Rattus norvegicus: one gene and its partner. The protein of the gene in region 2 purifies or fractionates together with the protein of the main gene of each other region. This does not show direct contact. Links are inferred from orthologs where the notes say so. Each region holds a gene or a part of one and is shown on either strand. Other genes may lie near its edges. The genes, in order: Pkn1 and Kbtbd8.

Evidence for each region.
Region 1: the proteins of Kbtbd8 (region 2) and Pkn1 purify together in Homo sapiens (affinity purification with western blotting; 3 studies listed by BioGRID and IntAct, with this or other methods). This does not show direct contact. The link is inferred for Rattus norvegicus from reciprocal best matches to the Homo sapiens genes KBTBD8 and PKN1.

The regions. Positions count from the first base shown.
Region 1 is NC_086037.1:41,367,350-41,371,169, reverse strand, and holds part of Pkn1 (serine/threonine-protein kinase N1), read right to left. Parts: coding exon 3,691-3,820; intron 3,602-3,690; coding exon 3,508-3,601; intron 1-3,507. UniProt on the Homo sapiens protein: PKC-related serine/threonine-protein kinase involved in various processes such as regulation of the intermediate filaments of the actin cytoskeleton, cell migration, tumor cell invasion and transcription regulation.
Region 2 is NC_086022.1:129,239,158-129,242,977, reverse strand, and holds part of Kbtbd8 (kelch repeat and BTB domain-containing protein 8), read right to left. Parts: coding exon 3,602-3,820; intron 582-3,601; coding exon 118-581; 3' UTR 1-117. UniProt on the Homo sapiens protein: Substrate-specific adapter of a BCR (BTB-CUL3-RBX1) E3 ubiquitin ligase complex that acts as a regulator of neural crest specification.

The DNA of each region.
Region 1 (3,820 bases), on a different chromosome or scaffold from region 2:
GGTAGCACAGGATAGACCTGAGCATTGTGCTTGCTTCCCTTCACATGGGCAGCACAGGATAGACCTGAGCATTGTGCTTGCTTCCCCAGCCCTGTGCTTTATTCTCACCACCTGCCCGAGGTACCCTGAACCTGTGCTCCTTCTGCCTCAGCCTGTTGGGTAACTTGGACCCCAGGCTTGCATGGCCCAGCTCTTTCTCCTCTGTAACCCTTCCTGAGATATTGTCTATATGAGGATCAGCTGACTCCTGTGTTAAAGAACAGAGACCCTTAGCACACCCTGTCCATCTGCCATTTTCCTCCCAGAATTCTGCATATTTAAATACCCTTTGTGGGCTTATTTAATTTACTGGGTTTAACCTGCACAGATTAGGCCTGGAGAGAGGGCTCAGTAGTTAGAGCAGTGGCTGCTCTTCCACAGGTTCTGAGTTCAATTCCTGGCAACCACATGGTGACTTACAGATTAATGGCTTGACTGATTTATAATGCTGGGCATGGAACCCAGGACCGTGTTCCTACTAGGTGAGCATTCTGGTACAGAGCTTCAACCTAGCCTAGGCATACCACATGAGCATATGACTGAAAAGAATCAGGGCCTGGGGCATCCTTGGCTCAAGAGAAGGAAGGTGCTTACTACACCAAGCCTGCTGGCCTGAGGGAGACCTCTGGATCCAGAGGTGGGAGGAGAGAATCAACTTCTGTAGTTGTCCTCTGATCTCCACACCTGAAGGTGTAGCACATGAGTCCCCCTCCAAAGAAAACAACATACAAACACAAAAGTTAAACCAACAAAAGACTCAGGCTCTGAGGGTGCAGCTTCGTAGTATAGTGCTGGCCTCGAGTGTGAGACCCTGGCTTCCAGCTTCTTTCCTTTTCCAAATGGAGAAGAGGCAGCAGGTAGACAGCGGCCAGGCACACTCTTAGCACTCGAGAAGCTGGGGCAGAATGATCAAAATGGAAGGAAAACGAGGCCAACACCAGGGTGAAGGCACCTGCTGCCATGACTGACAACTGGAGTTTGAGCCCTGGGACCCACAGGGTGGAAGGAGAGAACTGACTCCTGCAAGTTGTTCTCTGACCTCTCCATGAGCGCTCACACTCACATAAGATAAAGTGAATGGTAATAAAAATTGTAAAAAGAAGCCAGGCATGGTGGCACATGTCTTTAATCCTAGCATTTAGGAGAGAGAAGGCAATCTCTGTGATTTCAAGGCGTGCCTGGTCTATAAAGTGAGCTCTAGGATAGCCAGAGCTATGGAGAGGCCCTGTCTCAGACAGATGGATAGATGGATGGATGGATGGATGGATGGATGGATGGATAGGTAGATAGATAGATAGATAGATAGATAGATAGATAGATAGATAGAGATAGGCAAGGCTGATAAAAGCACAGGCACCATGTACCAGCCTGAGCCCAGCGATGCTGACCACCAATGGGCCAGCCTATGGTTAGCTAGCCTACCAGAGCTAGAAGTGCTTGAAGGGGTAGAAAGGAAAGGCATGTCTGGTAACCACACGCAGTCTCTCCATGGCATGGCTGCGACCCCAGCACCCACGCAGCTCTCATCATGTTCACAGAGTCAGTTCCTTATTTCTTTACCAAAAAATAAAACATCTATGGCTACAGAACTAGAGGAAGCTCATGACAGCTGCACCCCCACTTCTTTTGGTAACCCCTATCAATAGAGCAACACAGTTTGTCCTTAATATAAATTTTTTTCCTTTGTGCTTTAGATCAACAGCTCCCTAACTGACCTTAAGGCCCACTCCTTAATAAGAGAGAAACATGCCAGGTACTGGAAACCTAGCCAACTCTCCAGGGTTGGTGAAGTCATAGACCTTGGAGGAGACCCGACAACCACCACTATACTAAACCAGCATAACCCCTACCTACACTCTAAATATTATGGTGACCAGTGGTTCTCAACCTGCAGGTCGTGACTTCCTGGGGGCAGGTCGATTGACTCTTGAACAGGCCACATAAGACTATCACAGATAGGGGCTGGGGATTTAGCTCAGTGGTAGAGCGCTTACCTAGGAAGCGCAAGGCCCTGGGTTCGGTCCCCAGCTCCGAAAAAAAAAGAACCAAAAAAAAAAAAAAAAAAAAAAGACTATCACAGATGTTTACATTATGATTCATAACAGTAGCAAAATCCCAGTTGTGAAGTAGCAATGAAAAGAGTCTTATTTTTCACACCATAAGGAAGTGGTGGTACCCGTATTAAAGGGTCAGCATGGGCAAGGTTGAACACCACTGCCTGACACCCGCAGGTCAAGTGGTCCTCACCCTCATCAAGGAAGCTTCTCTACAACAGATGGAGACCACGACTGAGAACCACAGCCAGTCAAAATGCAGAGGTGTGTGGCCCAGTCCCAGGGATACAGCTACAAAACACGTCCATGCCTAAGGCTCAGAGAGCACTGAGAGAGGAAGAGGGGGGAGCTATAAGAGCCAGAGGACTGGGGAGGCGGTGTCAGAAGCTGCACCTGTCACTCAACAGCATAACCACCCTGTGTGAGCTGGACAAGGACGATGACAATAGGAACGCCACAGTGGATACGGAAAAGCCCACAAGGCCCAACCCTTCTGAAAGTACTACAGCCGATTAAAGTGTGCTTCGAGTAAGAGAGAGAGAGAGAGAGAGAGAGAGAGAGGCTGACTTCCCAAAGAAAAAGTTACCCAGTATTAAATGGCCAGACTTGAAAACATACAGAAATGTGACATTATGCACATTGCACAAAACGTCTGTAGGAATATATAAATATTTATACATACATAGATGCATGCAATTAGCAATTAATGAAAAAAGGGGAGGCTATGAATTTGACGGAGAGGAAGAAGGGGTTTACAGGAGGATTTGGAAAGAGAAAAGCTATATTACAATCTCAAAAACAAGAGAAAAGCATCCCGTCCCCCCTAGAAAATCTGCTCCACAGCTGCGGTGACCTTTCGTTCCCAGCACAGGAGTCACGCAGGCACCTCTGCTGCCCCGTCACAGCTCACACTTTACGTTTGGTCTTTCCTTCTTCAGCCCAGATGGAAGCCAGAGCTGCAAGCACAGTGCTCAGGAGTTCTGCTACTGAGCAGACTTTTGTCCCCATGACCAGCCCCACTTTGGCTTCTGAGACGCGGCTGGATATGTAGCCTAAACTGGCCTAGGACCACTATGTAGTCTCACTCACACTCAAACTTGTGGCGACCACTCTGGCTCAGTCACGCCACTGCCGGAAGATAGGCTGGCGCCACCTTGCCCAGCTTCCACACTGATATTTTAAGCAGGTATAGGAAACAGGGGAGGAGCTGGGGATGCCGTTGCCTAGCGTGCAGAAAGCCTTGGATTTCATCACCAGTACCCTACAAACATGGTAATCCCAGGATGCAGCGGACTGAGGCAGGAGTTCAAGAGTTCAAAGCCCGAAACTATACTCAACAAAAACAACTGGTCTTGTTCTCCTGGATGATCCTGGGTTAGCATCAGATCCCCTAGGCTCCCCTGTGAACACTCACCAGGCTACATGAGGTGGAGGGCAGCCCTGCGGGGCTCTTCTGGGACGAGCTGTCTGAGTCAGCACCGAGATTCAATTTCTCCATGGATATGTCTCTGCAGGAGAGGGAGGAGAAGGAGTTGAGAACCCAGGACCCTGGGAAGCAGGAGCAACAAGTGGCATTGGGCCCACACTCCTTCCTTACCCAGTGCTCCGGATCTCAGAGCCTGGAGATGCATTGGGGCTGAAGGAGCCAGTGGCCACGGCGTTCGGGATGAGTCTCCGGAGCAGCCGCACCCAGGTGGCCACATCGATGTTCATCTGTCTGGCACGCT
Region 2 (3,820 bases):
TTACGAGCACCCATTTCTGAATACAAAACTGTTAGCTTTCTTCAATGTTGACAGCATTTCCTAAACAAGCTTCCTTAGTATGAGAGATGCCAGTGACGTGCTTTGGCCTGCTATTTATTAAAGAACTTTCTGAAGACACTGAGGATAGAGTTTAGCCACTGCACACTCAAAATGGCGGCCAAGGTCCCACAGCCGATCTGGGGTCTCATACACTTTCATCCACTGGTCAGCGATGTCATCATACTGGTAAAGAGAATTTTTCCTGCTGGTTCTGAAGATATGTTCTTCAACAGTCACTTGAGTAGCTCGCACAAATAAATGAAGTTTATTCTGGAAAAGTACCAGCTTAAGGTATGGATTTATAGACTGATCACAAGGAAAGTCCTTTTTTCGAGTCCATTTATTTAGCTCAATATCATAGGCTTCAACAGTAAACACACGCTGATGATTTCCACAGGTTCCAGCTATGTAGTAGATGGAGTCTTTATACACAGCCGCTAAGCCCTGGATTCTAGGCACAGTCATGGGGGTTAAAAATCCCCAGTAGTCTTTTTGAGGCTCATAGAAGAGGAAAAATTCTCCTAAAAAAGAAAAGGGAAACAATTATGTACATTTTCATGTTTAGTTGTATCTTTAATTCCAACCTCAGAAGACAATATTTTCCTTCCAAATTCTTGACTCCTAGAATATACAAAGTAACAGTAATACTACACCCAATCTGCACTGGGATGTATGACCCAGGAGGAGTAAGGCAGGCAACATGAACACATACAACTTAACCATAAAAAATACATCACATACATGTGTGGTACTTGGTTAGAAAATAGCATATGGAATTGTTTAGATTTGAACTTGTGGTCACTCGTGTGTTTATGTCAATGTTGTTATAAAGCAAAGACAACAAACAATTTATGGACTTGATAGTCAGTTACTCTTCTAAACTGACAATAAAAAGGTGTGTGCACTGAGCCAGACTGTCAATAGGAAAATGTCTGTAAGAATTAAAATAGTGAATATTGCCAAGATCTTGCTAATGATATAACACTGCTTTGTTTTTTGATAAGGTCTCTAGCCTGAACTCAGGCTCATCTTCACTTTGAAATCCTCCTACCCTACCCTCCCAAGAGCGGGAATTAGAGGTATGGGCAGCTATGTGAAGCTTAATGGGAACACAGAATAATGTCTCATGATAGTAGGTAACAGCTCTATGGAGACTAGAGTCTAGAGACAGGCAGTTATAGGCAGAGCAGGCTGGAATATTCTCTCTGAAGTGCTTGACACTCTAAGTACTGCAGATCTCAGAGTATCTACATGTACATAAATATCCTGGGGATTACTCCATGTCAAAACACGGATTACTACGGTATCTTTAGTGCCTGCGTTTAGACTGTGACCTCTTATAAGGTTGGGTATAAAATGTAGAACCACATCAAAAAAGTCTCGAATTTCAAAATTCAGATTTCAGATTTTGGCATTTTACATTAGGAATGCTCAATCTGTAAGACATAACCTTCTTTGACAGTTATCACCAGGTTATATATGTAAGAAGGTTTTGTAGGTTAGAAAAGAATATTAGAGTCTAAGTAAAGCTTCCCTTTAAACTATTCTAAAGTAAGGACATTCTCATCTATAGATTAAATTACATACTTAATAAGAGTGACGTTTCAACCTCACTTTTATTTAAGCCCTAACCTTTGCTTGCATATTACCTTTTCTTTCTACTATGACTTATATTCTGGTGTTCTTGATAAAGAACATGGGAGTTAAGACATCTTATATGACCCAGTTGTCTACACATTTCTTATACCTCTGGCTACAAATTATTCGCTCTGGTGCATAAATGTATTAAGTTATTGCTGTTTTGCTATAATATTTACATTAATATACAGCCTACATACTCCAATTAGGAGCCTTAAAATTATCTCTATAAACTATTTTTGCCAGTACCACATATGGGTGGGGGTGGGACATACTTCACACTTCACACTTCATCACACTAGATATAACCATTCCTATATTTTACAAAGATAAATCCAAACCATGCTTTCATTTTAACTAAAGTACATTAGTACTATACCTTAATTAATTCTACAAAATTAATAAGCAACTTAAATCAAACATATCCGGGCTTCTCTGAGAAATTTTAAGTCAAAGGATTAGAGCAAAGAATATCATTTTTAAAAATGGGATAGAGCTTAAAAATAATCATGTATATTTTCATGAAAACCTACATTGTTCCTGATTTATTAAAGTAGTCATATAAGGAAATATGTGAATATAATCCCTTAAGAAACATAGTAAATAAGAATTTTGGAATAATCTAAACTGCATTCAAAATTCCAACAACTAAAATATTCTTAGAAAATGTAAAGGGACTGGGGGTCAGCAGGTCAGGTGCTTGCAATGTAACCTATGTGAGTTCAGACCTTTAGGATCCATGAAAAAGCAGGGCACGGTGGCACACCTACATAACCACAGCAGTGAAAAAGCAAAGAAAGTCAGACTCCTGAGGGACCTGGAGGCAAGCTAGTCGACTTAATTGTTAAGCTCCAGTGTCTGTGAGAGCCTGTCTCAAAAAATAAGGTGGCCAACAATAGAAACAGCCAATGTTAATAATGTCTGACCTGCACACTCGTATACATACAATTTTTAAAAAGCTAAGATCTAAAGATGATAATCTCAAGCCTTTGTAATAAAGTTTCATAACTAGTGAAACTCTTTGTGGGCACTGGAATGTGAGTGAGCAGCTAAGAGCACTAGCTGCTCTTTTAGAGGGCTTAAGTTCAAATCTCAGCATCCACAGGACAGCTCACACCATCTGTGACTCTAGTTCCAGGGTTCTCCTCTTTTGGCTTCTGCAGTCACCAAGTATGCATGTGGTATATACGCATACACTCAAGCAAAATGCCTACATAAGATTCAAAACAAACAAAAACCTGGTAGAACTGGAAATAGAGCTCAGTGTTTAAAAGCACTTGCGGCTCTACTCTTCCAGAGGACCTGGGTTCAGCTTCCAGAACCCTCATGGCAGTTTACGACTGTCTATAACTCCAGCTCCAGGTGATCCAACACCTTTGGCCTCTGTGAACACGGCATGCACCTGGTACACAGACATAAATGCAGGCAAAATGTTCAGACATATAAAAGAAAAATAAACCTTGGAAGAAAAACAAAGCTCCTTGGTAAATGAACAGTCAATTCCAGTAAACTCAATCAGTAAGTTCTATAAAAGAGTTGTAGCCAAGTCTCTTGATTATATTATTAAAGAACAAAAATAGCCGGGTGATTAGCCTTTGCTTATTGTTTATTTTAAAATGCTCCAAAGTAGTCAGTAATAAACTATTACTTATTATGCTTTTAAAAACTTTATATGAGATCTGAACATAACTCAAAAACAAAGGACCAACCATTTCAGTAACTTAAAAATATTTTAAAAATTTAAATGTTTTTGACCTTGATTTTCTACGTGAATGTTCTAGCACAGTCTATGGTTAGGAAGTATTAAGTACTACTAGGAGTATCGCCTGCTTTGCTATCGTCAAGGAAACCACCCTTGCCATATAAACATAACCCTTTGATGAAGAATCCTTATGCTACCTACCCTGTAAAACGTAGATTTTTTCTTTGTGCTCCACAGCATTATGAAACTCCATTGCAACTGGCATGGCGCAAACAGTCATCCAGCAATTCTCTCTGCTATCATAGCATTCCACAGACTTCAGTGAGTTTCGTCCATCGCCTTCGTAAACACGCCCTCCAATTGCATACATTTTACCACAGCAATATACTAGTTTGCAGCCTATTCTGGCCCGAAGCAAGG